Linked DNA regions of Mus musculus. The protein of the gene in region 1 interacts with the protein of each later gene in a pairwise test. Links are inferred from orthologs where the notes say so. Each region holds a gene or a part of one and is shown on either strand. Other genes may lie near its edges. The genes, in order: Disc1, Dpysl3, Nup160, Sybu, Kifap3, Mllt10 and Ppp4r1.

Region 1 (5,186 bases):
GCGCTCCCAGGAGATGAAACTATCTTCACTTTTATGTGTGTGCATCTGTGAGCACGCATGTGTACAGGTGCTCATGAACAAAGTGGCAACTGAGGTTTTTTTTTAATCTGATTCTGATAATTTTGTAAGTTTTAAAACATTCATTTTCATTTTGTGTATGTGTCTGTCTGTCTGTCTGTCTGTCTGTCTGCGTGATGGTGACAGGGATAGCTAGAAGAGGGTGCCTGATTAGTCCTCTGGAGCTGCAATTGCAGGTAGCAGTGAGCTACTCAGGATAGATGCTGTGAAACTGAACTCTGATCCTCTGCAAGAATGCTATGTGCTCTGAACTGTTGGGCCAGCTTTCCAGCCCCTGTTTTAAGACAGTTTATGTTATATATTCAGAGGTATGCCTAGTTATCCTCGGGAGTGAGTCAGGTAGACCTGAGAGTGTTTATGGCAGGCTGGCCAATTCAACTGTATTTACTACGGAGTGCCTCCTGAGGAGGAGAGGCGTTCCATTCGTTTTAGCTGACCACTTCAGATCGATCGCAGGCCATCACTGAGGGGAGTCAAGGCAGGAACCTAAGGCAGGCCTGCTTGCTATAGCACACAGCATTAACCTCCAATGGAGAGCTCACTTCACTGCCAATCAGGTATAGCAGGAACCACAGAGGACGCTGTTTGCCAGCTGGCTCGTAGATGGGCTTCAGCTCACTTAGCTTTCTTGGATAGTTCGAAACCTAGGTAATGGTGCCGCCCACAGTGGGCTGGGCCTTCGAAGGCCAGTTAACTGTCCAGACCTTTCTTACAGACGCGATACGGGCCAATCTGATCTAGGTAATCATGGACTAAAGCTCTCTGCTCACAGGACCCTAGGCTATGTCACACTGACAGGTAAAGCAAACTAGGATACCAACACAGTGCCTTTTTCAACCCTGTTACCCTACCCACTGCACTAAATCCTGACTCTGCTCATGTCTTTATCAACTTCAGCCGCATCCGCCCGTGCTTACCCGAAGGTTCCTGGTAAGAGGCAACTGCTCTGGCCCACCTTTCCAGCACCTGGTCTTTTTTCTAGGGCCACAGGCTCCTCCCTTCCAGCACGCACTCTCCCAGGCTTCTTCCCACTGCCCCATGCTCCACCCACAGTCAGGTCTCCGGCTGACTCCATGCAGTTCAGTTTTGTAGGTTTATTTTTGCCTCGGGGTCCAGAGGCGAGGTTATGACGGGCCTAACCCCTGACTGGCACTTCCTGTACCCACTGTCCTGTAGCAGGTGCTTTGCTGAAGCAGCCAAAGGGAAGGGATGGGGGAGGTGAGCCAGCTGCCAGGAGCTTGGCACAAGCCAAGGCTTGTGCCGTGCTCCTGGCCAGCCCCGTGCTGCCAGAGATTCGATTCTCAAGTCATTTTTAACAGCTGCTCCCACCCCCCCCGACCTGTCATCTGTCACTTTCCTTCGGCTTCACCGCGACTTGGTAGGAAGAAGTCCCTCTCTTGACCACCCCGCCTTTTACTCCCAGGGTCTGGGAAGCGCCCAGTCTTTCGGTCCCTGGCCACACTGCCCCATCACACTTCCCCTCCTTGGTTTCCTCCAAGTGAAAAGCAAAACTTTCTGCGCTGCGGTCTGGGAGCCGCGAGGGGCGGCGCGCGCGCGCTAGCGAGGGGCCGAGGCTGGAGAGGAAGCGGCGGTCCTGGGCAGGAGGAAGAAGCCAGCCCTCGGCTCGGCCCCCTGCCCGTTTCCCGCCGCCTCCGCGGCCGCCGCTACCACCATCACCACCACAGTCACCGCCGTCCGGGGCGCAGCCGGCCGCACGATGCAGGGCGGGGGTCCCCGGGGCGCTCCGATCCACAGTCCGAGCCACGGCGCAGGTAGGGCCCGGGGTTCTGGAGGAGGGCGAACGAGGCCTGCCGAGATCCGGGCGCACCCTGATGCAGGGGAGGGAAATCGAGGCAGTGAGCGGGGAGTGCAGGGTGCGGGCGGTCGTGTCCCCAGCTCCCACTGCAGCTCCCGTCCAAGCGCGTCCCCGTCCCGAGAGTCCGGCCGCCCTGAGGCGCAGTCGGCGAAGGGCGCGCCCGCACTCCTTCCTTGCGAGGTCCCGGTGGCCGCGAAGGTTTCCGCAGCGCCCAAGTGCAGCTCGATCCCAGGACTCCCTCGGGTGGCCGGCGCAGACGCTGCGGGGACGCGGGGCGAGGTTGAGAGAGGTGTGGGAACTGCAGCCCGCACCTCCCGTGGGGCTGCTCGCCGCCCACTTCCGAGTGTGGACTGTGACGCGCAGGGCAGCGCAGGCTGAGGGGACCCGCTCCATTTCCTCTGTCAGCTTGGGCCACGTACCAACCCCGGTGATGACATCGAGTTAAGTGGGTGGCCGCTTTTCAACCTCAGCAACTCACTGTCAGAAACCCCAAGAAAAGAACGTGATGGCACACGCCTCTTTTCCTAGCACTCGAGAGACAGGAAGACTGTGGAGACTTTCTAATACAATCTGGGCTACAATAGTGAGACTCTATCTCAAAAACCAAAATCAAATCAGAACAATGAAAAATAAAACAAGCACGGAGATCTGCTCCAGACTGGGCTTTGCAGTTTGGGCGTGTGCTGTGCCAAGGAGAGAAGGCAAAGGACTTAGGAGCTTCTTTTGGCTCTTGGAGCCTCAGTTTACCCATCTGTGAAAGGAGCACTAATCACTAGCTTCCCTACCTCCTTAACTGGCTTCTATGAAGACATTTTTGCAATTGGGAGTTGGAAAATACAGGGTTGGTAGGTGGGTGTAGGGTAAGAGTCTTCTGCACCCGCATCCTGGACTCGGGAATGCCTTAGTTTTTCAATTTGTAAAATGGAGCTGATTTTCCTGCCTACGTGGTAGATTTTAAAAGGGGTTTAATGTGGTAGGAGGACATGAAACCCCTGGCCAAATCTCTGCGATACAAAGCAAATTCTCAAAAATCTCTTAGTTGCCCAGGCTAGCCTTAAATCTGCTGCCTAGCCCAGGCTGGCCTCCAATTTGCTAGCCTTTGCCTCCCAAGTGCTGGGATTACAGGTGTGCTCCACTACGCACGGGTCCTTAAGTATTATTTTGACCATGCAAGACCTAAATAATCGTGGGCAATACAGGAATGCCAGTGTGACATGTTAGTGTCTGAGTTACAGGGTATTTGAAAAGACATTTGGCACCTGACATGGAGACCGTTGAGGTTTAGCCAGGATTCTGCCCACAGCAAATAGAGCCCTGGATGAGAAACCTGCTTTCTGAGCTGTCTCTCCAAGTCTCGGGCTTTCTCTTCTGTTTATAAGAAAGAGAAAGCACCTGGGCTGTAATTATTACCTTAGCCCTGAGAGTGCTGCCCTGGGATGGAGAGCAGAACATCTGGAACTGGGGCAGGTGACAGCCTACAGGCGACAGGTGCCACTTTGCAGAGAGTGCATGGGCCAGGCACTTGGTCCTGCCCTTTGATGAGGTCCCCCTCACACCGGTGAGGGGCTGGTGCTACCATCCTCATCTTCCCTTGGATGTGGCAAGGGTTGGAGTCACCTGCCTGTGGCCCTGGTGGTTAAACAGGGACTGGGGCTCAAAGTCAGATGCAGGTGTCTCCAATTACAGGCTGAAGGGAAGGTGTCAGGTGGAGCCCAGGCTGAGCGTGGACCTTTGCCTGGTCAAAGGTAATACCTGGTCTTCTGTTTCTGCCGTTTATACCTATCTTCATCTATCTATCTATCTATCTATCTATCTATCTATCTATCTATCTATCTATCTATCTATCTATCATCTATCTATCTATCTATCTATCTATCTTCTATCTATCAATCATCTATCTGTATATCTTCTGTCTCTATCATCTATCTTCAGCATCTATCAATCATCTATTACCTATCTATCATTTATCCATCAATCTGTCTGTCTATCTTCTATCAATTATCTACCTACCTATCTATCAATCATCTATCTATCTATCTATCTATGTATCTGTCTATGTATCTATCTATCTATCTATCATCTATCTATCTATCTATCATCTATCTATCATCTATCTATCATCTATCTATCTATCTATCTATCTATCATCTATCTATCTATCATCTACCTACCTATCTATCAATCATCTATCTGTATATCTTCTGTCTCTATCACCTATCTTCAGCATCTATCTATCAATCATTTATTACCTATCTATCATTTATCTATCAATCTGTCTATCTATCTTCTATCAATTATCTACCTACCTATCTATCAATCTATCAATCATCTATCTATCTATTTATCTATCTATCATCTATCCATCAACCTATCTGTCTGTCTATCTATCATCTATCAATTATCTACCTACCTACCTATCTATCAATCATCTATCTATCTATCTATCTATCATCTATCTATCTATCTATCTATCTTCTATCTATCAATCATCTATCTGTATATCTTCTGTCTCTATCATCTATCTTCAGCATCTATCAATCATCTATTACCTATCTATCATTTATCCATCAATCTGTCTGTCTATCTTCTATCAATTATCTACCTACCTATCTATCAATCATCTATCTATCTATCTATCTATGTATCTATCTATGTATCTATCTATCTATCATCTATCTATCTATCTATCTATCATCTATCTATCATCTATCTATCTATTTATCATCTATCTATCTATCATCTACCTACCTATCTATCTATCTATCTATCAATCATCTATCTGTATATCTTCTGTCTCTATCACCTATCTTCAGCATCTATCTATCAATCATTTATTACCTATCTATCATTTATCTATCAATCTGTCTATCTATCTTCTATCAATTATCTACCTACCTATCTATCAATCTATCAATCATCTATCTATCTATTTATCTATCTATCATCTATCCATCAACCTGTCTGTCTATCTATCATCTATCAATTATCTACCTACCTACCTATCTATCAATCATCTATCTATCTATCTATCTATCTATCTATCTCCAGCCATCTGCTTACCTACCTACCTGCAAGCAGCACTAGGGATCAAACCTAGGGCTCTGTGCAGTGCTAGGCAAGCACTTTAGCACTCAGTCAAACCTCTAGCTGGCATTTTTCATAATTGCAGACCTTAAAAAAGTAAGAGTAAATCACAGAAAGAACTTTGCTTTTCTCCCCCAATGTAATATTTTTACTAATTATTTGGGAATTACATACAAATACATTCTGGCCCACCCCCACTCACTTCCTA
Region 2 (4,386 bases), on another chromosome or scaffold:
CAGGACTGGGCAGTATCTGGACTAAAGTAGAATTACAGTCAGAGGCTGCATTCTTTCCCCTCACAGTGTGTTTTGAATTGTGGTGGCCCTGGAATGGCCCCATGGTGATGTGGTGGAGCTGAACTCTTAGACATGTCAGGAACACATTAGCTGTGAACCTACAGTTTGCTGGTCAGCAGTGGGGTGGACTTTTTACTACCCCAAGAGAATTTGGGGGGCTATCTACAGAAGGGAAAATAGTGGGGCACATATGTGCCCAAGGTAGGAGATATTTAGTATTAGTATAAACTGTGAATCCTAGGTATACTATGAGGGCAGACCTGGCCAGATGTCTAAATCAAAGCTAAAAAATAAAATAAAATAAAAAGTTAGGCAATGTTGCAACCAGTGGCCTGCAAACAGCCTTGTGGGGAATAGTTATCACATTCTTGTGAGATGAACCTTTGAAACTCTCATTTATGTATTCAATGAGTTTATTCCCCCACTCTTTCCTGGGATGTTCTGAAGCCTTCGGGGTTACCATAATTACTTTTCTTTGTCTGGAGCCTCTATTGAAATACTGACCATACAAAAGCAGAGGGTGTGGGAGAGAGCTGCATGTTTGATGCTGTCCTTGTGCATCTGCAACAAGGCATTATTAGCTGATCAGGGAATGGTGGAGTAAGAAAAAGAAACTTGAGCAGGTGGTGATTCAAGCAGACGCCTTTGATTAGGGCACAGATGACTAAGTCCCCATGCCTGTTGTTGTACCAAGTTATTATCTTCTGTTGCACCTAACAGTCATTTATTTCTCGTTCCTTGTCATTTTCCCCAGTGTGATCCCACACCAATAGAGAGAAAAAACAAAGTGAATGAAATAATGGAAATAGTTATATAAAAATATGAGTCACGCACTGACTCTAGACATTGGCAATCTTTAGATTTCAGTACCAAACCATAACACAGTGCCATGCAGATGATGCTGGGGCAGTAGTTTTGGATACACAGCTATCTGTCTTTGCTTAGACATCCTACGCTCGTCTTGAGGATCGCTCCATTTAATTGTCCGTTGTTCCACTGTCTCGTCAGGCAAATTGGAGACAATCTGATTGTCCCCGGAGGTGTGAAGACCATCGAGGCCAACGGGAAGATGGTGATCCCTGGAGGCATTGACGTCCATACCCACTTCCAGATGCCTTACAAGGGAATGACCACAGTGGACGATTTCTTCCAAGGGACAAAGGCTGCCTTAGCGGGAGGCACCACCATGATCAGTACGTTCTCTCGTACTGCCCAGCCCTGTGGGTTTGAGAAAGGTGTCAAACACTGCCCTCTGAAAATACGGAAATTATACACACTTCTCTCAGTTTGGTTCATGGAAGCTATGTGACCCTGGGTGTGGGAAAAGCAGGAAAACTGCCAACTTCCTGTAGTTACACAAAGGACGTCCATGAACTTAATGTTACTGAAAACAACCAGAGAAAGATATGTCTGAAAGAATGATCATTGAGACTGACAGTTCTTGGGAGATTAGTGGGTCTCGGTGGATTTAGTGCTATTGGGTCTTTGCTATATTCTGACCAATTTGTATCTTTAAGATTAGGAAAGCTGTGAGCGGTTTCTTTTATTTTTCTTTTCTTTTGCTTCTGGTAATTACTAATTCCAGAGAAACTTGGGAAATTGCATGTTATTGGAGTACAGAACTGATAGTATTTCAGGCAGTCCTTCCTGTTCCAAGGAATCTCAATGAATTGGGTACTGGCCCAGAGTTAGCCTCAAACTCAGACACAGCACTATTTACTTAACAGCTTATTCTTCTACCCACAGGCACAGAGCAGCCTGAGCCAGAATTACAGTCTGTCTTGACCTTCCTTTTGACTGAACCACTAGCAGGGTTCAACTTTAGCAAGGCCATAAAAGGTGCAGTCCAGGGAGGCCTGAGCCTTTCCCCGCAACTGATAAAAGGAAGCCAGCTGACTTCTCAGCAGCTTTCTGCCCAGGAAAGCCCTGGTGTCCTTGAAGACAGTATTGATGTAGCTGGATGCATTATGCTTTCCCATCAGTGCACTCGGGCTCTGTTGACAGAGGAAATGCGTGGTTCTTGCTTTGGTTTGGCTGGCTGCCATCTGGGCCAGGAACTGGGCCTGTTCTGCATGCTTGTAAAGTCTTGTCTACTTGGTCTTTCTCCATGAGCAAAGGAGCAGAGAGCAGATGGGAGGTTTAGGCGAAGAATAAAGCTTACAAGGAGCCACAGATGCATTCTTGCCCTTTATTGATAACTTAGAAACTCTAGATGTGTGCAAGGCAAAGGATCCACGTAACCCTATTCACTGCTGGAGTTTCTTACTATGGCAGTTTCCAAGTTCACAGCAGGATCCTAGTATCTGTGCCATATTTAAAGCTGTGATTTTTTTTTTTCCACTAAGTGGTGGATCACGAATGTTGCTCCAGGCAGTCATTTGCTCACATTCTACCTCAGCTTTTAAAATGGGTGTCTCTCGTCACTCTGTGAAAAGTGTCTCTATGTTTTAAACTAAACTTCTCAATTTTTTTCAACCTCGGCCACTTTCGATTTTTCATTTTCGTAAATGCATCAGCGTACAGTCTAGATACTAAATGCTGCTGACAGCTACAACTTATCTTCCTAGGCATGAGGCTTAGGCATGAGAGTAAATTGAGTCTGGTCTGGAAAATGTCCAGAGTTTTGATATATATTTCGATGTCGTCCTCCCAAAAGCTGAACCAATTTCACACTTTAACTCAGCTACCCGTTGTGGCCCAGGTGAGGGTAGAGCTTTTGCTAAATCCCTACTATAACAACCACAATGATTATTTTTTTAAAATACAAATATAATTTTACTTAATATCATTTCTCTTAATTTAGGCATGGTGTGTTTTGTTTGTTTTGAGATATTAGGATCTTGCTACACAGGCTAGGCTGGTTTTGAGCTTTTAGTGAGCCACCCAGGTGTTGGGATCACTACCATGCCTCCATTACTGTTTTAACTTTTTTTCTTTTTTACTTATTCACTTTACACCCTGCTCACTGCCCCTCTTCCTGGTCACCCCCTCCCACAGTCCTTCCAATGGAGTGATAGAGACACCAACCCACTCACCAAACTCTAAACCCAAAATTTATCCTGTCTACAAGAAATGCAGGGACTGAGGATCGAGCAGAGACTGAGGGAAAGGCCAACCAACAATCAGCCCAACTTAAGACCCATCCCATGGGCAAGCACCAATCTCCAAGACTATTAATGATACTGTGGTATGCTTAAGACAGGAGACTAACATGACTGTCCTCTGAGAGGCTCCACCCAGCAGCTGATTCAAACAGATGCAGACATACCCACAATTATTTTAAAAATATGTATCATCCATGGTTGCAGAGAAAAGTGGGTTTGAATTCAGAGAAACTTATTCTTGTTAGCAAGTTCATGGGCTTTGGTTACTCATGCCTGCTATACATCTAGAACTTCTTCTTCTATCCAGGGAAGAGAACACAACTTTGGCCATTAATAGTGACTCAGAGCCAGTAGTCACAACATAAAAATAGCAGGTAGTCATGAGGAGTTAACACTTAATATGCGCCAGGTATCAGTGAAGCACCTTATATATGCATTTTGCACTTAGTCATATGGAAAACTCAGACGGAAAAATACAATCATAACGTGTTCCCCATCTACTCTACACCCATTTTTAAGAAAAGAAAACTGAGGTTTCAGAAAGCTACTAATTTGTTCCAAGTCCCCGAGTTAACCAAGCTGGAAGGAGCAGGAATAGAGACAGGGAGACCAAACTGTTTCCGAGTCACCCATTTTGCCCTCTGTCCTTCAGTTGACCACGTGGTACCTGAACCTGAGTCTAGCCTGACAGAGGCCTATGAAAAGTGGCGTGAGTGGGCCGATGGGAAGAGCTGCTGTGACTATGCTTTGCATGTGGACATCACCCACTGGAATGACAGCGTCAAGCAGGAGGTACAGAGCCTCAGCAAGGAAAAAGGTGAGTCAAAGCACGCGCTCCAGCCTCGTCTCTCTGCTGCCTTGTCTGCGTCTCCCACAACATCCCGCCCGCTCGTGGGAGTCACTCCTCGAGTTCCGAGTCTCGTCCCTTAAGCATGAGGGCTGTGTGAGGGACTTTTACTTTGTTCCAGGCACTTTCCTTTTTCTCTATGTAACTTTACTTTTTGTAGGATCTTCGTGGGATAAATATTGTTCGTCACTTTGAAGCTGAAAAAGCGGGGTATCGGGATAACTGCTTGAGGTGACATTTCGTAGGCAACAGATCTACACAAGGATGAGGCTTTTCACCTCCATGGATAGCTTAGGGTTTTATTGCTAGGATTAAACACTGTGACAAAAAAAGCAACTTAAGGAGGAAAGGGTTTATTTCACCTTACAGCTGCTA
Region 3 (4,386 bases), on another chromosome or scaffold:
TAGTTTTAAATACTGAAATTAGAACATCAAACTTTCTACATGACAGACTGGACTTTGAACAGGCTCAGCAGTTATAAATACTTGATGCTCTTGCAGAGAACCTGATTTGGTTTGCAACATCTACATGGTGGCTCATAACTACAGTTCCAAGGAGGAGCCAATACCTTCTTTTGGCCTTCATGGGTACCAGGAACACACATGGTGCATATACATACATGCAGACAAGTATTCATATACAAAGGAAAACGTTTAATTGATTTCTACATGAATGTATTGCTTGGTCAGTTTTGGGGACCAAGACCAGTGATATAAGCCAATTCCTCTTTTCTTTCAACTCCTAAAACTGAGGAATTAAATAAATAGGAGAAAAGTAAATCTTATTGGATTTATTTTTAAAATGTTTTTAGTAGCTCATCTAGTTTCTAGTTACCATTTAGTTATATTATCAATTCAGTTGTTAGCTGGAAAGATGACTCAGCAGCTAAGAGCATGCGCACCTTTTATGAAGGACTCTAATTTGATTCCCTGGTACATGGTGGGAAAGAGAGTCAACTCCCGAAAGTGTTATGTAATTTCTAGATGGATACTATGCCAAATGAGCCTACACACACAAGATGCATAGATAGATAGGGGATAGATAAAAAATAAGCTTTGATATGTTTGCTAACACCTATGATCACAGCACTCTGGAGAGTCTTTTTTTTTTTTTTGTTTTTTCGAGACAGGGTTTCTCTGTATAGCGCTGGCTGTCCTGGAACTCACTATGTAGACCAGACCAGGCTAGCCTCAAACTCAGAAATCCGCCTGCCCCTGCCTCCCGAGTGCTGGGATTAAAGGTGTGCACCATCACTGCCCGGCAAAATAACTTTTTTTTTTTTTGGTTTTTTTTTTTTTTTTTTTTGGTTTTTTGAGACAGGGTCTTTCTGTACAGCGATGGCTGTCCTGGAACTCACTTTGTAGACCAGGCTAGCCTCGAACTCAGAAATCCGCCTGCCTCTGCCTACTCTGGAGAGTCTTAAGAGCAGCCTTGTCTACCCAATTCATTAACTAATTAGTTCCTAATTAACTAGTAGAATAGGAATCTGAACTCCTTTGTCCTTTTTACTTTTTCCAAGTGCTACAGATGAAGCATGGAGGCTATTGTCAACTTACTTGGAAAGATACAAAGTCCAGAATAACTTGTATCATCATTGTGTGATTAACAAGTTGTTGTCTCATGGAGTTCCTCTGCCTAATTGGCTTATAAACAGTTACAAGGTACGTGGTATTGAGGTGGGGTAATAATTTGGGAAGTGTACTGGTTTACAAGTCATTTGTGGCAGTAGTTGGGAGGCAGAGACAAAAGGATCAAAAGAACTTCAAAGCCAGCCTAAGTGAGTTCAGGGCCAGCCTAGGCTAAATGAGATACTATCAAAAGAAGTGGAAGACAAAGGAGAATTCACTGGCTTAAATGCTTTGATTCTCAATCATCTCTAATAGGATGAAACAATTTATCTTAAATTCCACATATAGTACTGGGGACTTATCATTGTATAGTGAGCTCATAATTAGAATAATGAGTATATTTCATGCAACAATATCTACTATCATTGTTTAAAAACTTAACAATAGTAGGTAAAATGTTTCCCAGATAATACAAGAGTTTATCTTTGACTGGGAGGCTTATCTATTAGTCTGTTGTCTGTCCCCATGAAGAGGTACCTGGGCAGGTTAGCTTTTTAGAGAAAGAGGGTTACTTTGCTCACAGTTTTATAAGCGAAATGTTCAAGAACACTTGGCTCATTATTCTGACCTCCAGTAAGAGCTGTCTGTGCTGCTCTATCATAGTGTGTTGCAGTGTGGTGAGACTGTACACAGCAGAATATGGTCCAGGAAGCCAGAGGGCAATTCACCCTCCACTGTCATTCATACCTGCTCACTCTCCTGAGAATTAATCTCTTCACAGTGGACAGACCCTCCTTGACCTAAACATCCCCCCACTGGGTCCCACTTCTCAAAGGTTCCTTCCTCTCCCATTGCTACTACATTGGAGGGTCAAACTTCCAACATATGATTCACATGTGGGCTATATTGAATGGTAGCTTCTTTCTTTTGTTGTTTGTTTGTTTGTTTGTTTGTTTGTTTGTTTGTTTGTTTCGAGACAGGGTTTCTCTATATAGCTCTGGCTGTCCTGAAACTCACTCTGTAGACCAGGCTGGCCTCGAACTCAGAAATCCGCCTGCCTCTGCCTCCCAAGTACTGGGATTAAAGGCATGCGCCACCACGCCCGGCTCAGTAGCTTCTTTAAAATGTCAATTCCTCGGTCTTAAGTCAGATTATCTGGGGCCAGGAACCAGAATTCCACATTTTGACAACCTTCTGTTTTTGTTGTTTTGTTTGTTTAGGGGGGAGTTGTTCTGTTTGTTGAGACAGGGTGTCACTGTAGCCCTGACTAACCTAAAACTCACTGTGAACTAGGCTGGACTTGAATTTACTATGTAAACCAGGCTGGGTTTCAACTCAGAAATCCTCCAGCCTCCATCTCCAGGTATGGGGATTAAAAGTGTGCAACACTAAGCCAAATTGTTTTAATGCTTCATGAGCAGGTATGAATGACAATGGAGGCTGAATTGCCCTCTGGCTTCCTGTCTGATGATAAGACTATATTATGCTCTGTACACTCCCACCACACTGCAATAAGCTATGATATAGCAGCACAGCTTCATGAATTTATATGTTCTTTATCATTCCAGTTTTAGTATATATGCTGCTGTGGCAAGTGCTTCTGATTGGGTTAGATGTACGCTTGATTGAAAATGATATCTGAAGCACTTTCAGTGGGATAAGGAAAGAGAATATAAAAATTATTAGTAGTAAAATTGGTTAGGCATTTGTAATTACAGAATTTGGAAGGCTGAGGAGAGGATTACTGTGAGTTGAAGGCCAGCCTGGTCTATATATAGCAAAACCCTGTATCAAACAAACAAACAAAAACGGAAAAGTTCGGTTGGTAGAGTGCCTGGCATGTGGGAAGCACTGAGCTCAAGGATGTGGTCCACATGTAGTGTCAGCCTGTGCTACATGAAACTCTGCCATAAAAGAGGAGAAGAAAATAGAGAAAAGTAGCTAAAGTGGGAGAAGTAAAACTGATTACATCAGAGCAGAGGAGGCAGCTTCACTGTAATGAAGTACAGTGGACCCAGGCATGCTGGCCTGCGCCTTTAATCCCAGCTCTCGGGAGGCAGAGGCAGATGAATCGCTTGAGTTTGAGGCCAGCCTGGTCTACACAGAGTTCCAGGACCGCCAGGGCGACACAGAAAAACCTTCTCAAAAAAAAAAAAAAAAAAGTTACAGCATTCTCCTTGTCTTACTGCTGTTTTACTGCTATGAACAGAGACCATGACCAAGGCAACTCTGATAAGGACAACATTTAGTTGGGGCTGGCTTACAGGTTCAGAGGTTCAGCCATTATCATCATGGTGGAAGCATGGCAGCATCCAGGCCTGCAATGGTGTAGGAGGAGCTGAAAGTTCTACATCTTGGCAAACAGGAGAAGACTGACTTCCAAGCAGCTTGGATGAGGGTCTTAAAGCTCATACCCACAAGTGACACAACTACTTCAACAGAGCCACACCTCCGAATAGTGCCACTCCCTGAGCCAAGCATATTCAAACCATTACACTCCTTGAGCTGCATACAGATTTAAAGCTGGTGGTACCTTGCATTTCATTATTTCTGAGAGTTAATGCATACATCCTCCACTTCAGTGCTCAGCGTTCCTGAGAAAACATGTTGACATTACTAATGTACAATTGAAGTAGGAACAAGTTAAAACATGTCTCAGATCACAAAATAGAAAAGAAAAGCCACTTAACAGACAATATTACAGTGTGCCTGGAGGTAACTGGGCTCATGGGAATTTACAGATCTTACCCTGAGGTGCTCGCTCACACTAAGAACCTTTTTAAAATTGGTTGATTGGTCTGAGGCAGGACTGTGTAGCCCTGCCTGCCTAGATGTGTACTGTATAAGTTGAAATACAATTGTATTGGAAAAGTTAATAGGAAAACCTGATTAATTTGTTGCTGTATAGAAACAATCAGCATATGTTTTGGTAATACATTTAGGTTGTTTGTGGACTTAGTTTCTTGGATAATTTCTAAAACATTCTAGAATGCAGCACTGTTAGGTTCTGTTTCCAGTTGGGGTAGACATGCTTATAATTGTTGTCTTTACAGAAGGTTGATGCTGCCGAGTTGCTTCGTCTTTACCTGAACTATGACCTTTTAGAAGAAGCTGTGGATTTGGTCTCTGAATATGTAGATGCTGTATTAGGAAAAGGACATCAGTACTTTGGAATTGAGGTAAATGCGTATGAATCATGTGGCCCAGGAATTGAATTCAGTT
Region 4 (3,045 bases), on another chromosome or scaffold:
ACACACACACACTCCTGAAACTGAGACTTAGAAGAGCCTGTGCTGTGGCTGCTGTCGACTCTTAGCTATTTCAAAGTTGACGTTGCTTGTAACTGTGCCTACCTTCTCTATAGGGAATCTGAAATCATGGAGCTCAAGTCTCAGCTGGCTCGAATGAGGGAGGACTGGATTGAGGAAGAGTGCCACAGAGTGGAGGCTCAGTTGGCACTCAAAGAAGCCAGAAAAGAGATTAAACAGCTCAAACAGGTCATCGAGACTATGAGGAGCAGCTTGGCTGATAAAGATAAAGGCATTCAGAAGTACTTTGTGGACATAAACATCCAAAACAAGAAACTGGAGTCTCTGCTTCAAAGCATGGAGATGGCACACAATAGTTCCCTGAGGGATGAACTGTGTCTTGACTTTTCCTTTGATTCCCCAGAGAAAAGTTTACCCCTGAGCAGCACATTTGACAAGTTGCCAGATGGGTTATCTCTGGAAGAACAGATAACAGAGGAAGGTGCTGACAGTGAGCTTCTGGTGGGAGACAGCATGGCTGAAGGCACAGATCTGTTAGATGAGATGGTGACTGCCACCACCACAGAATCCAGTGGCCTGGAGTTTGTTCATTCCACTCCAGGGCCACAAGCCCTCAAGGCTCTCCCCTTGGTGAGCCACGAAGAGGGCATTGCGGTGATGGAGCAAGCCGTGCAGACCGACGTGGTGCCGTTCAGCCCTGCCATCTCAGAGCTCATTCAGAGTGTGCTAAAGCTGCAGGACTACTGTCCCACAAGCTCAGCATCTCCAGATGAATCTGGAGCTGACTCGATGGAAAGCTTCTCAGAATCTATCTCTGCCTTAATGCTTGATTTAACTCCAAGAAGTCCTAACTCGGCCATCCTTCTGTCTCCTGTGGAGATCCCATTCAGCAAGGGGGCTATGGAAGCCCATGCAAATCGCCTCATGAGAGAGCTAGATTTTGCAGCCTACACAGAAGAAAGATTGGACAGTGTCCTCTCACTGTCCCAGGGCAGTGTTGTGAGGCAGTACTGGAGCAGCAATTTCTTGGTGGATCTACTGGCTGTGGCTGCCCCTGTGGTACCCACTGTTCTGTGGGCATTCAGTACTCAGAGAGGGGGTACAGATCCTGTCTACAACATCGGAGCTTTGCTCCGAGGTTGCTGTGTGGTGGCCCTACACTCACTACGCCGCACCGCTTTCCACATGAAAACCTAATTAGTTGTTACTGTGTGCCAATGTATCTGTGTGGCCTGATGCCAGGTAGAGCAACAGCAGGTGATCAGTGGAAGTCTCTATTCTGTCAGTTTTGCTTCTCGCTATTTGATTTGCACTATAGTCAGTTGAAGCCTGTTCACTGTTTAAACCAGAGGTATTTTCCAAGGCATGGAAACCTGGTTCTGGTAGCTGTCCCACCAGAGTGGTGTAGAAAGCATGCTTATGCCCCTGCCGTGTTGTCTGAGGTGCCCGTTCTTATACTAATGGTTCAGGAAGAGAAAATGCCGTTTGCACTTTCACCACAGCCTTTCTAAGGCTGGCATGTTATCTCCTTGCTTTGCTTTGTGCCGTTTGAAAATGTGTAATTGTTCCAGCATTCCAATGCTCTTGTGCATAGCAGGGGACTGTAACCAAAAATAAAAATGTACTTGTGTAATTGGTTCAAAGACTTGAATAGCTCTTTATCGTCTTGAGGTTGATAAAGTTTGAGTGTTTAGATTTTTGTTTTTTAACTTAATGTAGCTCCAAAGTCTTATAAGACTCATTTGCTCTTAAACCTGTCAGTTAGTGATACTATGTAAATTTACAATGTACTAACTTATTTTTTGCTTATTATATATAGTGTTTTTTGGAAATTGTTTGTACCCACATACTTAAAGCATGAAAATAAAGGTTAGTGGTTCCATTTAAATGTTTGTCTCCTATAATTATGAATTTACTACTATATAAGTCAAATAAATAGATCATTCTTTATCAAAAAGATTCTATAAAAATGAAGCTAACCAGAAAACAAGAAAGAAAAAATAATTACTAAAACCAAAATGAAGGCCTGGAGCAATGCTCCGTGATTAAGAGCAGAAGTTAACTACTCTGGTGGAGAGCCTGAATTCTACCACCAGCACCCATGTGGCTCACAACACCTTCTGACCAAATACTGTGGCAGATACTCACAAAGACCCTCTGCCTTCCCTCCCCTCCCCTTTCTTCCCCTCTCTTTCCTTTCCTCCCCCTCCCTTCCCTTCCTCTCTCCCTCTGTCTCACACACACTTAAAAATAAAAATTCTTGAAAAAGGTAACTATGCCTGACCTTGAAGAGTATTATATAGAAAATAAGGGTAGCCCTGTTTATTTAAATAAGGCATGCAGCTGCTTGCACACACAATCAGCACGTTTGCACTCATTCCAGGAAAGGTGGGCGGCTTATTAAGCTTGCTAGACTCCCAGGAGAGGGAAATTCCAAGAGTAGCATCTATTCTCCATCCTCCTCCTCCTCTCTCAATGAAAGGATTGGGGCGGATGGAGGAGGGGATCTGCAGTAATTATTGATTCTTAGTAGCCTTGAGAAGTAGGTGTTCTACTTTATAAACAGGGAGCTAAAAAGCCACAGACAGCAAAACCGCTCAAGCTCTCTAAGTTCATTTTCAGAGCCAAGAGTTAATGTATGAGCGATGAAAATGCCTCTTCTACCTTACTGTAGAAATGGAGGTGATCTGGGAAGTAGCTTCTCCTCTCAAACCGCTTCCTCATTAGGGTTTAAATATGTGCTGACATTGTTTATCTGTGCCTTTAATATCTTATTGCCCATGGTTCCTGTTGACATGCTAGCTCTGTGAGCAGGGCAAGGATAGGTGTTCTGTCTTATGCATGGATGTCAAGAACTTAAAAGAACCTGCCACATAGATCTGAAAATCAGTGTAGAATTCATCCAACAGCAACTAGCTGATAATCTCACAAGCCAGTTAGCTACTTTACTGGGTTGGTCACTAATAGGCAAGGAGGGTGCTTCCATGCTTTGTCTTCGAAGAGTCCAGTGCTTTCTAAAATAATTTT
Region 5 (4,386 bases), on another chromosome or scaffold:
ATGTATATATATATGTGTGTGTGTATATATATATATATATATATATGGCATTATTAAATATGCAATTTACAAACATTTGTCCCAGCCTTTGGTTGTCTTTTTACTGTCTTGAATATGTCAGTACTGTCAACAATTTTGATTTGTTGAAGTCTAATTTATTAATACTTACTGTGGCTTTTGAAACCGTATTTAAGAAACCATTGCTAAATTCAAGGTCATGAAGCTTTTCCTTATGTTTTATAGTTTAAAGTCTTAAATGCTGGTCTCTTCTCCACTGGAGTTAATTACTGTATATGGTGGTTAAGAATATCTAATCTTCTTAGCATCGTTTGTCAGAGATTGTTCTTGCTCTGTGTGGATACTTGGAGCATCCTTGTTGAAGATTAACTGGCTGTAAACATAGGTCATATCTTGCACTGTCAGTCCTAATCCACTATTAATATGACTATTCCTTGAGCTGATAATGTACTGCTTCAATTGGGAGTGTTTACATTGAGTGGGGCGAGTCCCACAACATTGCTGCTCTTTATCAAGATTATGTTTGTTGTTTAGGGTCTTTGTTTCCATGTAAATTTTAATGTTGTCTTTTCCTTCTCTAGGCTGTCAGGGGGTTCTGTTGACTCCCTGAGTCGTCTGGGGAAAATACTACTCTCTGAATAATGAGTGATCCAGTCCTTGAACATAGGATGGCTTTCATTTTTTTTAGTTTAGATGTAGAAACAGGGTGGAAGTTATGGATGTCCTGTGAGACTTTAATCTTTTTTTTTTTTTGTAGGAAAGTTAAAGGGGGGAATATTGATGTACATCCATCAGAAAAAGCTCTCATTGTTCAGTATGAAGTGGAAGCTACCATTCTTGGAGAAATGGGAGATCCCATGTTGGGAGAACGAAAGGAATGCCAAAAAATGTAAGTGTCCTTCAGTTTGTATACATTATGAAAATAGGAGCTTTTATATAACCTTCATACAAATGATATTATTTTAATCTTCATAGACAATAAATAGTTATAACATCCTTCTGGACCACTTCAACTTAGTCGAGGAAAGATTGCATTCAATGGTATAAATGTGGAATATATTCTAGAGAAAGTAAAACTTTTGTAATGTTAAGTGAAATTAATCACAAAAGATATGTTTATATGGGAGTTTTTGCTTAATTTAGAAATTCGGAGTCTTAGAAAATCCTCTATTCCTTCTCCCATAGAATTGCTGGGAGTGGTGCGATGTTCAGATGTTCCCAAATGGGGCACAGATCTTGAATTGGCTCCTGAAAGCCTCCTGGTCCTCTGAAGAATGCTAGTATGTGACAAGCTGTCTTTTAGACTGCACTTAGGTCCACATCCTGCTCACTTTCCCTTATTGACTTAAGAGAGTCCCTCGGGACCTGTTCTTTTTCATTATTCTGAAGTTTTGCTGGTAAACTTCCTACCTTCCTTCAATAACTTTATGCTAGTAGAGAAGATTTGATATGACTTAATGTTCTCTCTCAACCCTCTTCCCGCTGCATAGCATTGACTTGGTAACTAGTTAGAAAGAATTCCTACTTATACCATGTTGTGTTGAATCGAGGGTGCTCGGGCAGCTAGGAGCACATGTGAAAGTACTGCCTTAAGTAGATAGCATTGGATCTTGGTCCGGGACCCGCCGAACTTAGGAAATTAGTCTGAACAGGTGAGAGGGTGCGCCAGAGAACCTGACAGCCTCTGGAACAGGCGGAAGCACAGAGGGGCTGAGGCAGCACCCTGTGTGGGCCGGGGACAGCCGGCCACCTTCCGGACCGGAGGACAGGTGCCCGCCCGGCTGGGGAGGCGACCTAAGCCACAGCAGCAGCGGTCGCCATCTTGGTCCGGGACCTGCCGAACTTAGGAAATTAGTCTGAACAGGTGAGAGGGTGCGCCAGAGAACCTGACAGCCTCTGGAACAGGCGGAAGCACAGAGGGGCTGAGGCAGCACCCTGTGTGGGCCGGGGACAGCCGGCCACCTTCCGGACCGGAGGACAGGTGCCCGCCCGGCTGGGGAGGCGACCTAAGCCACAGCAGCAGCGGTCGCCATCTTGGTCCGGGACCCGCCGAACTTAGGAAATTAGTCTGAACAGGTGAGAGGGTGCGCCAGAGAACCTGACAGCTTCTGGAACAGGCGGAAGCACAGAGGCGCTGAGGCAGCACCCTGTGTGGGCCGGGGACAGCCGGCCACCTTCCGGACCAGAGGACAGGTGCCCGCCCGGCTGGGGAGGCGACCTAAGCCACAGCAGCAGCGGTCGCCATCTTGGTCCCGGGACTCCAAGGAACTTAGGAATTTAGTCTGCTTAGGTGAGAGTCTGTACCACCTGGGAACTGCCAAAGCAACACAGTGTCTGAGAAAGGTCCTGTTTTGGGCCTTCTTCTTCGGCCAGGAGGAGGTCCAAATACAAGATATCTGCGCACCTTCCCTGTAAGAGAGCTTGCCAGCAGAGAGTGCTCTGAGCACTGAAACTCAGAGGAGAGAATCTGTCTCCCAGGTCTGCTGATAGACGGTAACAGAATCACCAGAAGAACAATCTCTAAACAGAGTCAACTATAACTACTAACTCCAGAGATTACCAGATGGCGAAAGGTAAACGGAGGAATCTTACTAACAGGAACCAAGACCACTCACCATCACCAGAACCCAGCACACCCACTTCGCCCAGTCCAGGGAACCCCAACACACCTGAGAACCTAGACCTAGATTTAAAAGCATATCTCATGATGATGGTAGAGGACATCAAGAAGGACTTTAATAAATCACTTAAAGAAATACAGGAGAACACTGCTAAAGAGTTACAAGTCCTTAAAGAAAAACAGGAAAACACAATCAAACAGGTAGAAGTCCTTACAGAAAAAGAGGAAAAAACATACAAACAGGTGATGGAAATGAACAAAACCATACTAGACCTAAAAAGGGAAGTAGACACAATAAAGAAAACTCAAAGCGAGGCAACACTAGAGATAGAAACCCTAGGAAAGAAATCTGGAACCATAGATTTGAGCATCAGCAACAGAATACAAGAGATGGAAGAGAGAATCTCAGGTGCAGAAGATTCCATAGAGAACATCGGCACAACAATCAAAGAAAATGGAAAATGCAAAAAGATCCTAACTCAAAATATCCAGGAAATCCAGGACACAATAAGAAGACCAAACGTACGGATAATAGGAGTGGATGAGAATGAAGATTTTCAACTCAAAGGTCCAGCAAACATCTTCAACAAAATTATTGAAGAAAACTTCCCAAATCTAAAGAATGAGATGCATATGAACATACAAGAAGCCTACAGAACTCCAAATAGACTGGACCAGAAAAGAAATTCCTCCCGACACATAATAATCAGAACATCAAATGCACTAAATAAAGATAGAATACTAAAAGCAGTAAGGGAAAAAGGTCAAGTAACATATAAAGGCAAGCCTATCAGAATTACACCAGATTTTTCACCAGAGACTATGAAAGCCAGAAGAGCCTGGACAGATGTTATACAGACACTAAGAGAACACAAACTGCAGCCCAGGCTACTATACCCAGCCAAACTCTCAATTATCATAGAGGGAGAAACCAAAGTATTCCACGACAAAACCAAATTCACGCATTATCTCTCCACGAATCCAGCCCTTCAAAGGATAATAACAGAAAAAAACCAATACAAGAACGGGAACAACGCCCTAGAAAAAACAAGAAGGTAATCCCTCAACAAACCTAAAAGAAGACAGCCACAAGAACAGAATGCCACCTTTAACAACTAAAATAACAGGAAGCAACAATTACTTTTCCTTAATATCTCTTAACATCAATGGTCTCAACTCGCCAATAAAAAGACATAGACTAACAAACTGGCTACACAAACAAGACCCAACATTTTGCTGCTTACAGGAAACTCATCTCAGAGAAAAAGATAGACACTACCTCAGAATGAAAGGCTGGAAAACAATTTTCCAAGCAAATGGTATGAAGAAACAAGCAGGAGTAGCCATCCTAATATCTGATAAGATTGACTTCCAACCCAAAGTCATCAAAAAAGACAAGGAGGGACACTTCATTCTCATCAAAGGTAAAATCCTCCAAGAGGAACTCTCAATTCTGAATATCTATGCTCCAAATACAAGAGCAGCCACATTCACTAAAGAAACTTTAGTAAAGCTCAAAGCACACATTGCGCCTCACACAATAATAGTGGGAGACTTCAACACACCACTTTCACCAATGGACAGATCATGGAAACAGAAACTAAACAGGGACACACTGAAACTAACAGAAGTGATGAAACAAATGGATCTGACAGATATCTACAGAACATTTTACCCTAAAACAAAAGGATATACCTTCTTCTCAGCACCTCATGGTACCTTCTCCAAAATTGACCACATAATAGGTC
Region 6 (4,386 bases), on another chromosome or scaffold:
AATTTTTACTTTATGTGTGTGAGTGTTTTTGTGTATACCATGTGCATCACTGAAGAGGTCCGAAGAGGACATTAGAATCCCTGGAACTAGAGTTACAGATGTTCTGAGCCAGATGTGGATGCTGGGGACTGAACTTGGGTCCTCTACAAGAGGAACAAGTGCTCTTTAACCATTGAGCCATCTGTCCACATGATCCTTCATTTTTAAAATCAATAAGATGATATTCATGGCTGGTTTTCCCATTATGAAGCTTCATGGAAATTGGACAAGGAGAATATAAGGTGTAACTTAGGACATGAAGTCATATTTTTTTGATGAGTGGATAGATTTGGCTGAATAATCATGGATAAGGCCTGTTGTTATAACTTATAACCTGAGAAATGTCTTGCAGTTTTACTATAATTTGGAACATTTACAGTTGTATCTGCATGCTGGAAAAAGACAGTCCCCTGGAGAGGGAGGGGGCACACTGTGGTTTTGTCAGGCTCTGTTTGTTCAGTCTTTCCTGTATAATGCTTCTAATGGTTTGGAGGGAGTAGAGAAACTCTGGTAAGTGTTAACTCAGGAGTAGGCTACAATGTAAGAGCTATGTATGATACTACCTTTGACAAATTATTTAAAAGATAATTTTAGAGGTGAAGTTGATTTCAGTAGTAACTGATCTCATATTTGTTAGATGGTAATGACCTAAGTTTTGTAATTCACTTTAAGAAATTTGTCCTTTTTGATCATTGTAATTTGTCTATTGCTTAGAGGAACATTTTATCCAATTTATCTTCTTCCTCCACCTTTGTTTTTGTTTTTTTGTTTTGTTTTGTTTTTTTTGCTTGTGTATATTTTGCTACAGGCAGTTTTTCAGGAACTCCAGGCAGTGTAAAGTCATCTTCTGGAAGTTCAGTGCAGTCTCCCCAGGACTTCTTAAGCTTTACAGACTCAGATCTGCGAAGTGACAGTTACACTCACACCCAGCAGCCATCATCAACCAAAGATGTACATAAAGGAGAGTCTGGAAGCCAGGAAGCGGCAGTAAACAGTTTTAGCTCTTTAGTTGGTCACCCTGTGACCTCGACTGTTATTTCACAGCCTAAAAGCTTTGACAATTCACCTGGAGAGTTGGGTAGTTCGAGCCTCCCTACAGCAGGATATAAGCGGGCTCAGACTTCTGGTATAGAAGAAGAAGCTGTAAAGGAAAAGAAACGAAAAGGAAATAAGCAAAGCAAACATGGCCCCGGCCGACCCAAAGGAAACAAAAATCAAGAAAATGTTTCTCACCTCTCAGTTTCTTCTGCTTCACCAACATCGTCCGTAGCATCAGCTGCAGGAAGTGTAACAAGCTCTAGTCTTCAGAAATCTCCTACGCTGCTCAGGAATGGAAGTTTGCAGAGTCTTAGTGTTGGCTCGTCTCCAGTTGGCTCAGGTAAGGGTCTGTGCCATGTTTGCCCCTCAATCACTCCGCAGCCCTTTCTTTCACGACTCCAAAGAGTTGTGAACAGTTGTTCTGAGTGAGCTCTGAAGTGCCGCTACATTTAATTAAGATTGACATTTGTTCATTTTTATTTTTTTAAGTTTATTTTATTATTATTTGTTTTTAAAGGCAAGGGCTTATTAAGTAGCCCAAGCTGGCCAGGATCATTCTGTAACCAAGGCTGGCCTCAGAGTCTTGATCCTTCTGGATCAGCCTCCCAAGTGCTGGGATTGCAGTTGTCTGTTACCATGCTGGCCATTTTTAGGGAGGAGATCGCATATACTGTAGCACATGTATATACTATGTAGGCCTTGGATTATCAGGTGGCAACAGCCTTCACCCTCTTAGCGTTCTCATAGACCCTAGATTTTCCATTTCCTAGTGAGAAAGAAAGTACCCTACAATCCTAGAAAACTATTTGGTGGTGTAATTTTTAGCATCAATCTCATTTTACTTAGTTAACTTTATATAAACAGCTTTATTAGTCATCCATTACTTATCTCTCAGTTGTGTTTTTGTTCCCCCTGCATATTAGGTATAACACCAAACCAGGATCTGGGCGTGATGGCACACGCCTTTAATCCCAGCACTTGGGAGGCAGAGGCAGGTGGATTTCTGAGTTCGAGGCCAAGCCTGGTCTACAGAGTGAGTTCCAGGACAGCCAGGGCTACACAGAGAAACCCTGTCTCGAAAAAAACCAAAAAAACAAACAAAAAAACCAGGATTCATATTTTAAATGTGAACATGTCTGTATTCGTTTTTTTGGTATCTTTGTATTTAAAGTTATTTTGCTAAACTTAATTTTTCACTTTTTATTTTCTTGGTAATTGTACATAAGTAAAATGAATTTTTGGAGCCTTTTTTTCCATAAGTGATAAATTTAGGATTTTGTGTCAAGTTATATCTGAAATGATTTAAAATTTGTTTTCTTTTAACCATTATTATTATTTTTTTAATCTGAAATGAGAGTTGGCTTCATAGATTTGAAAGTGGTCCCAAGGCTTGCTTTTATTTTTAATTTTGAAATCTTGTACCAATTTTGCCTAGAACTGACTCTCTCCAGTACCTTGAGGTCTGAAATTGGCCGTGAATCAGTTGTCTGTGTATCTTGGTGCTGAGATTAGAGGTGTACTTCACCATACTCACTTTATCATCATTTTTATGACAGTATGAATGAGTATGTAGAATCTATGTCACTGGTATGTTTCTGTGTAATCTGTAATTTGTGTTACAAATCTTTTTAATTCTTAAAAAAACTAGGAAGTATGTATTTTATGTATGAGTACACTGTAGCTGTACAGATGGTTGTGAGCTATCATGTGGTTGCTGGGAATTAAACTCAGGACCTCTGCTCGCTCCAGCTCAAAGATTTATTTATTGTTATATGTAAGTACACTGTAGCTATCTTCAGACACACCAGAAGAGGGTGTCAGATCTCAGTACTTATGGTTGTGAGCCACCATGTGGTTGCTGAGGTTTGAACTCGGGACCATCGGAAGAGCTCTTAACCACTGAGCCATCTCTCCAGCCCCAGGAAGTATGTATTTTATTCTTCTTAAATATTTATGTTAATGTGTATGATTGCTTGCGTGCCTGTGTACCATGTTAGTGCCCAATGCCCTCAGAGTCCAAAAGTGTGCATAGGCTGGCCTGGAACTGGAGTTAGAGATGATTGTGAGCTGCTTTGGCTTCTGCAGGTTCTCACTAAGTAGCTCTGGTCAGCTTAGAACTTGCTATGTAGACCATGCCAGCTTCAGAACGAGGATATTTGATTGCCTCTGCCCTGTGAGTGCTGTGATTAAAGATGTGCACCACTACAGCACACCACAAGTTTTTCTTTTCATTTTTTTAAAATTTATTTTTTATTTTCATTTATGTGTATCTGTGTGATGCTACATAAATGTGTGTGGGTACTAATGGGTGTCAGAGACGGCAGTGGATCTCCTTGAGAAGAGGTTAACATCTCCATTTGATAAAGTTGTGTGTGTGTTGGGGGGTTGGTGGCGGGTGGCATTGAACCCAGGTCCTCTTGAAAAGCAACAAATGCACTTTACTACCACACCATCTCTCTACCACCAACCCTTAACAGTTTCAAGTTTCATTTGTCTGGTTTTATTTTTCTTGAATATGAGATAAACAGCTTTTAATAAATCTTGACTGTAAACTTCATCCCTTTTGTGTCCCTTTGGATTTCTGAAGGTTGAAATAAGATTCAGCTAAGATACATTATTATGGATAATATCAATTTTATTTATCCTGAGAGAAGGAAGAAATGATGTGTAAATAAAGATGTGAAAAATGTTCATTATAATTTCATATTGTATATTTTGCAAATACAAAATAAATCAAAACTTTGAATGATTTATTAGCTTCAGTAAGCAGAAATAACTGATCATTTCAAGAAAGAAGCATATGTGTGTGTGTATAAATATATATGTGTGTGTGTCTATATATATCTGCTATGTTAGGTTTCATTAAGTACATTGTTATTTTTATCTCCTTTTATAGTAGTTTTATAAAGGACTATTGATTTCCCCTTCCACAGGTGATAAAACTGAGGTTTGAGCGTAGCCCAAGGTCATACAACCTGGAGTTTTTTTGTTTGTTTCTAATAAATGACATCGATGCCTGTCATAGTTTGCACACAGCCCCCACTTTAGTGGGATCTACAGAGCAGTTATATTACATTGCTGCACTAACGTCCTTACTTAGTCTTGGTGATTTGGACATGTTGTGTTGGGTATTCTTTGTGTTCAGTACTTGTCTTTTATAGGATGTTTACCACAATCCCTAGCCCCTTCTCATTAGTTTCTAGTAGCACTCTCCCCATAATAAATATGTCTCCAGACATTGTTAAATGTCCCCAGGAGGCCCAAATTGCCTCTGGTTAGAACTGTTTCAGGAGGTGGGAAGAATAAATT
Region 7 (4,871 bases), on another chromosome or scaffold:
CACTAGAGGGCTCAAGAGGTGACCCGTTCTCCTTCGGACCCAGCCTACCCCAGCTTACTGTGAAATACTTCCTTCCAGACTGTGTTCCCCAACAGCCAAGCAGAGACTGCACTACACCTTCTTCCGGGGTGCACGGTCCCTGACTCAAAGGAACAAATATTCAGATGTTTCTTCTACAGCCACGCCACACCCACTCCAGTGAAGTCTGCGTTTCAAGTCCAAAAGCTTGGCCGCATTCCTGAGGCAAAAAGGTTCATGGAAACTGGTCTCCTGGAAGAGTCTCTGGTGTCCCATAACCAGATTTGTCCCTGTGATAGTGTGGAGCGTCTTGCATGCTTTCTTGCAGTATTTTACTGGATAACAGCTAAAAAAATCTCAGGGCTAGTTCAAAATAGTTAACTTAAAATCCTCATTACAGCCAGGTGTAGCAGAGTACATAACATATTAGAAGATAGTTGGTGAACTCCTCTGACAAATGGAGATTCCCTACAGACACAAGAGCAGCCAAGTCACTCCCATATGCATAGGTATTTACAATGGCCTAGGGAGGAGGAGGGTTGTGGTTTAAGGAGGAACTACAGTATTGCATTATTCATGAAAAGGCCAGCAAGAGCAGAACCCCCTGGCACAAGCTCTCACAAGGCTCAGAGGAATAGCATAAACTGTGACTAGGGTGTGAAATCCTCACCTGGCTCCTTAAGGGCTGACTTTAGAAAGGCCTGCCTTTTAACTCAGTTGTAAACACTGCCTGGTTCCTGTCAATCTTTATGTATGCATTTCTCTGTTTTGTGTCAGATAACTTCAATGTACCTTGGCTCATGTGTCACCTAACTTCTTTTTTTTCTTCTGTAATATAAGTCTGATGCTCGCTTTGAGAAATTACATTCAGATACAGCACTCTCTCTGTGTCAGTGTCTGTCATTTTTCTCCAACTCCTTGCCCACCTGAGTACCAAGATCCTGATTCCCCCCAGACAGACTGAGACCAGTCCGAGGCACAGCCAGACACAAAGACGTACACTTTATAAGAACAAGAGGCTCCGGCCTCAAAATTACCATCTGGGCAACATCTCCAATCCTAACCTTGGGAGAGATCTAAAATCAATAGGTGCTTTGATTATACATACTAAGCCAATTGAAGTGAGCTAAGGGAGAAAAAGCTATATGCAGAAGCTGTGCTTTACCGTGCTACTGCTCCCTAAAGACAACGACTTAAGGAGAGCACCCGTGTCCGTCCCCGAGCAGATTTAGCAACAGGTAGGTCTGCTAGGACTGCTTGCTTTAAAAATACTCTTTAGAGAAGCCTTCTGTGCTGGTTTGTGTTATATCAAGTTAACAAGGGTCGAGTCACCTGAGGAGGAAACCTCTTTATCTTGCCCTAGGCAATCCGGGGGGGGGGGCATTTTCTTAGGGACCCTTGTTGGGAGGACCTAGCCTGTTGTTGGTAGTGCCATCTCTGGATCCTGGGTGCTTTTGAGAGAGCAGGCTGAGTGAGCCAGGAGGAACAAACAACTAAGCAGCGCCCTCCATGGCCTCTGCATCAGCTTCCAGTTCCAGATTCCGGCCCTCATGATGAAGATGATGAACTGCAATAAGGAAGAATACGAGCCACAAACCTCTTCTCAAGTTGCCTTTGGCCATGTTGTTACATCATATCAACAGAAGTGCTGACTAAGGCACTTTCTCAAGGCAACACCTCCCATTGCTCAGAACAGGAATTTAAGTGGAGTAAAGAAAATCCTATCAGACAATGCTACTGACTATCTGCATAGCATTTGTAAGAGCAATTTTCGCGAAGGCATCTCTGGATTACCGGAACAGGTATGAAATCACACTCCCCAGTCCAGGCAGGCTCTCTCCCCTCACCAGACAGCTCTTGTATCACAGCAACCAGCTCAACTCTGCATATTTCTTGGTTTCAGATCTCCCATGAACTACACTTAATAACATTTTGTGCACACTTTATTCCTAAAATGCATTTTCCACCAGTCACTCTATCTGCAAACATTAACACGAGTAGAAAGCATTTCTACTTAAGTGTAATTCACAACTTCTTCCCATATAAAGTTAGCTAAGTCATAGTCTTTTCTGTCTCCAACCACCATTATTTTCTGAAGCTTAGAAAAACACAAAACACACTCAAAATGAAAGATATCTTTCTAAATAACTCATTTCCTTCACCACATGGAAACAATGTCCACAAGCTGACTGGGTTTTGTTTTTTGTTTTTTAATGTACAAAAAGAGTCAACTCTTTAAAAACTTTAATATCTCAACGGAAACCTGCAATTTTAGCATTTAAGTACCAGAATGAGCTTTGAACACTCCCAATTTTAAAAAGCTGCTCTCTGAACCTAGTCACTGCATCCTGCCAAGGTCACACCTACTAACCTCCCCGAAAATCGGAAATCAAATGTGTGAGTGAGTGGTGGTGGTGGGGACCCGAAACGGCTCAGAGGTCAAGTACAACACAGGTATGTAACCAGCACACACTAGGGCGAGGGAACCCCCGAGGGCGGGCCGAGCACCGCACGCCGCACAGCCCCCCGAGCCTTGCGGAAACACCTCCCGGCACCCGCCGCCTCCTTCATCGGGGCGAGGGTGCGGAAGACACTCAGGAAAAACACACCCATGTCCCCTCTCCGGCCTCCGCCCCACGGGCTTCTGCTTCCCCAACAGCCGCCCCGCGGCCCGAGCCTGCGGGCGGCGGCCGAGGTCCGACCACGCGGGTGCTCCCCAGCGCGGCGGGGTCCCGAGTCCGCCCGCTCGCCCGCCGCCCTCCGGGGCTGCCAGGCCACCCGCCACTCACGTCCGTCCGCGTCCTCCGGCAGGTCCTCCTGGAGCAGGGAGAGGTCTGCGCCGGGGGAGAGAAGAAAGGCCGGGTCAGCGTCCCGGGCCGGCGCCGCGCCCCAGCCGCCCGCCGCCCGCCCGGCGGCGCCTCCCCGCGCCGGCCTCTCCCGGGCACTGCCGAGCGCGGGGAGCCGCCGCCGTCGCCGCCGCCGCCGCCCGGGGAACTGGGGCCACGTACCCGCCATCTTGTGCTCGCCCCCGCCTCCTCGTCTCCCGGGATCCCGCTCCGCGAGCCGCTCAAGTAGAGAGCCGGTGGGCGCGCGCGGGCCGGCGGGGGCGCGCGCGGGGCGGGCCGAGGCCCGGGCCTGCGGCGGCGGCTCCCGTACGCCCGCCCGCCCGCGCGCCGCCCGCCGCCCGCTGCCCGCCGCCCGCCTCCCGCGCCCGGCCGGCCCGGCCCCGAGGCGCGCTCCCACCCGTGGCTAGAGGCGCCCTGGCGCCGAGCGTGCGGAGCGCGGCACGAGCTGCCCGCCGGGGGACCTGCGGCGTGTGCCCGAGCCGGGCGGGCGGGGTCCCCGCGGCCCGCAGCTCTGTTGGGTCACCGGCCTCGCCCACCGCTGGCCGCCGCCCGCTCCGCCGCGCGCCGCTCGTCGCCCGCGCCCCTCCCAGACCTGCTCGTGCGTCGCCGGCGGTCCGCGGCCGAGCCTCCCGCCTCCGAGTGGAGGAAGCGCCGCCTCCGCCCGCGCGCCCAGGCCTCGCGAGTGACTGAACAAAGCCCAGGCCCCGGGCCGGACGACGGTTTGAATGACAAAAGTTCCGCCGGCCCAGCCGGCCTGCCTTCCCGTGCGGCGCGGCACGTTAAAGCCCCGGCACCGGCTTCCGAGCCCGCGCGCTCCCCTGGCGCCCGCCCGAGCTGACCCTGAGCGGCCCGGGCGCGCGGGCCAGGCCGAGTCCAGTCACTCCGCGGTTCTTAGCCTTGTGACCGCAGGGAGGATCGCCGAGGATACCTGCCCCCTCCGCCTCTCCGGGGAATGGCAGACTGTCAGGAATCCAGCACCGTGCTTGCTACCTCGGGAGTCCGGTCGCCGGGTGCCTGGGATTGGCAGCGCTTTTCTCGAGTGAACTATCACACATCTTACTGGTCCCTTTGTTTGAAGAGAGTTAAACGGTTCTTGTAGGTTCCCCAGGCAAAGTAGGGCAAAATCCAGATTTTTCTGACTCCAGTTCGCCGTCCCATTTCTGTGAGTCTTAGGTCTAAATCCAACATCAGTGAGGTCTCCAGAATGGTCGCCCGTAAAATGAGTCTCATACATGATGCCCGTTTTTGAGTCTGATATGAAAAAAGGAGGATTTTAAAGGTTCAGCTTGTTCCTTTCTGCACCATAGTCCTAATTCAAGGCAACATATTGGCATTTTAAAACACGGGGAATCAGAACAAGTTGTAGGTGGTCTTTGGCTACTTTGTGTGTTCTTTCTTCCACCCCTCTTCTTTCACCCTTTCAACTCCCTAATACTAAAAAAGGGTAGGGGTGGAAGGGGCCATCATTATATATTGGACTACTTCCTGCTGATGAGGGTTGATGAGCTTCTTGGAGCAAGCTTGATCTTCGTAGTCAGGTATATCTAATTTCTTCTTCCTGTTTCTTTACTCACAACTACTTAACAAACAGCAACCAATCTCTCCCGCCCTAGTATTTACATACCCTCTGGAAAGTCTCCGGAATCCCAAATGGCAGAAACTATTTGTAGCTGGCAAATTCACACCCCTGCTAGAGCATGAGGCAACTCACTGTCAGCTTCTGTGGACAATATGAAGCAGCCCCATATCTCACACCTGGGATTAGAACAAAAACAAATTCCCATAAAAATTTTCTGTGTTTTTCAACAAAACCAAATTCTCACTACACTCAGTCATCAGATCCTCTTAAGCACAAGTAATCGCATCTGCTCAGGGAAATGAGTTAGCCACCGTTTCCCCAACATCTCTCCCTGTTGCATATTACTTAACATAAAACACAGATTGTATAATATAAATTGAAATTCTAAGAGATTAAAACAATCAAATAGATCCTATAGCTCCAAAACC

Evidence for each region.
Region 2: the proteins of Disc1 (region 1) and Dpysl3 interact in a two-hybrid assay, tested with the Homo sapiens proteins (2 studies listed by BioGRID and IntAct). The link is inferred for Mus musculus from reciprocal best matches to the Homo sapiens genes DISC1 and DPYSL3.
Region 3: the proteins of Disc1 (region 1) and Nup160 interact in binary tests that used the Homo sapiens proteins (3 or more experiments, as listed by UniProt). The link is inferred for Mus musculus from reciprocal best matches to the Homo sapiens genes DISC1 and NUP160.
Region 4: the proteins of Disc1 (region 1) and Sybu interact in a two-hybrid assay, tested with the Homo sapiens proteins (2 studies listed by BioGRID and IntAct). The link is inferred for Mus musculus from reciprocal best matches to the Homo sapiens genes DISC1 and SYBU.
Region 5: the proteins of Disc1 (region 1) and Kifap3 interact in a two-hybrid assay, tested with the Homo sapiens proteins (2 studies listed by BioGRID and IntAct). The link is inferred for Mus musculus from reciprocal best matches to the Homo sapiens genes DISC1 and KIFAP3.
Region 6: the proteins of Disc1 (region 1) and Mllt10 interact in a two-hybrid assay, tested with the Homo sapiens proteins (2 studies listed by BioGRID and IntAct). The link is inferred for Mus musculus from reciprocal best matches to the Homo sapiens genes DISC1 and MLLT10.
Region 7: the proteins of Disc1 (region 1) and Ppp4r1 interact in a two-hybrid assay, tested with the Homo sapiens proteins (2 studies listed by BioGRID and IntAct). The link is inferred for Mus musculus from reciprocal best matches to the Homo sapiens genes DISC1 and PPP4R1.

The regions. Positions count from the first base shown.
Region 1 is NC_000074.6:125,052,435-125,057,620, forward strand, and holds the start of Disc1 (disrupted in schizophrenia 1 homolog), read left to right. Parts: upstream 1-1,760; 5' UTR 1,761-1,795; coding exon 1,796-1,850; intron 1,851-5,186. UniProt on the Homo sapiens protein: Involved in the regulation of multiple aspects of embryonic and adult neurogenesis. Required for neural progenitor proliferation in the ventrical/subventrical zone during embryonic brain development and in the adult dentate gyrus of the hippocampus.
Region 2 is NC_000084.6:43,357,829-43,362,214, reverse strand, and holds part of Dpysl3 (dihydropyrimidinase-related protein 3 CRMP4b), read left to right. Parts: intron 1-1,068; coding exon 1,069-1,253; intron 1,254-3,816; coding exon 3,817-3,981; intron 3,982-4,386.
Region 3 is NC_000068.7:90,728,564-90,732,949, forward strand, and holds part of Nup160 (nuclear pore complex protein Nup160), read left to right. Parts: intron 1-1,115; coding exon 1,116-1,257; intron 1,258-3,697; exon of another isoform or gene 3,698-4,217; coding exon 4,218-4,343; intron 4,344-4,386. UniProt on the Homo sapiens protein: Functions as a component of the nuclear pore complex (NPC). Involved in poly(A)+ RNA transport.
Region 4 is NC_000081.6:44,670,717-44,673,761, reverse strand, and holds the end of Sybu (syntabulin), read left to right. Parts: intron 1-113; coding exon 114-1,215; 3' UTR 1,216-1,906; downstream 1,907-3,045. UniProt on the Homo sapiens protein: Part of a kinesin motor-adapter complex that is critical for the anterograde axonal transport of active zone components and contributes to activity-dependent presynaptic assembly during neuronal development.
Region 5 is NC_000067.6:163,782,210-163,786,595, forward strand, and holds part of Kifap3 (kinesin-associated protein 3), read left to right. Parts: intron 1-775; coding exon 776-907; intron 908-4,386. UniProt on the Homo sapiens protein: Involved in tethering the chromosomes to the spindle pole and in chromosome movement. Binds to the tail domain of the KIF3A/KIF3B heterodimer to form a heterotrimeric KIF3 complex and may regulate the membrane binding of this complex.
Region 6 is NC_000068.7:18,161,470-18,165,855, forward strand, and holds part of Mllt10 (protein AF-10), read left to right. Parts: intron 1-847; coding exon 848-1,417; exon of another isoform or gene 1,418-3,634; intron 3,635-4,386. UniProt on the Homo sapiens protein: Probably involved in transcriptional regulation. In vitro or as fusion protein with KMT2A/MLL1 has transactivation activity. Binds to cruciform DNA.
Region 7 is NC_000083.6:65,781,605-65,786,475, reverse strand, and holds the start of Ppp4r1 (serine/threonine-protein phosphatase 4 regulatory subunit 1), read right to left. Parts: upstream 3,122-4,871; 5' UTR 3,034-3,121; coding exon 3,027-3,033; intron 2,853-3,026; coding exon 2,808-2,852; intron 1-2,807. UniProt on the Homo sapiens protein: Regulatory subunit of serine/threonine-protein phosphatase 4. May play a role in regulation of cell division in renal glomeruli. The PPP4C-PPP4R1 PP4 complex may play a role in dephosphorylation and regulation of HDAC3.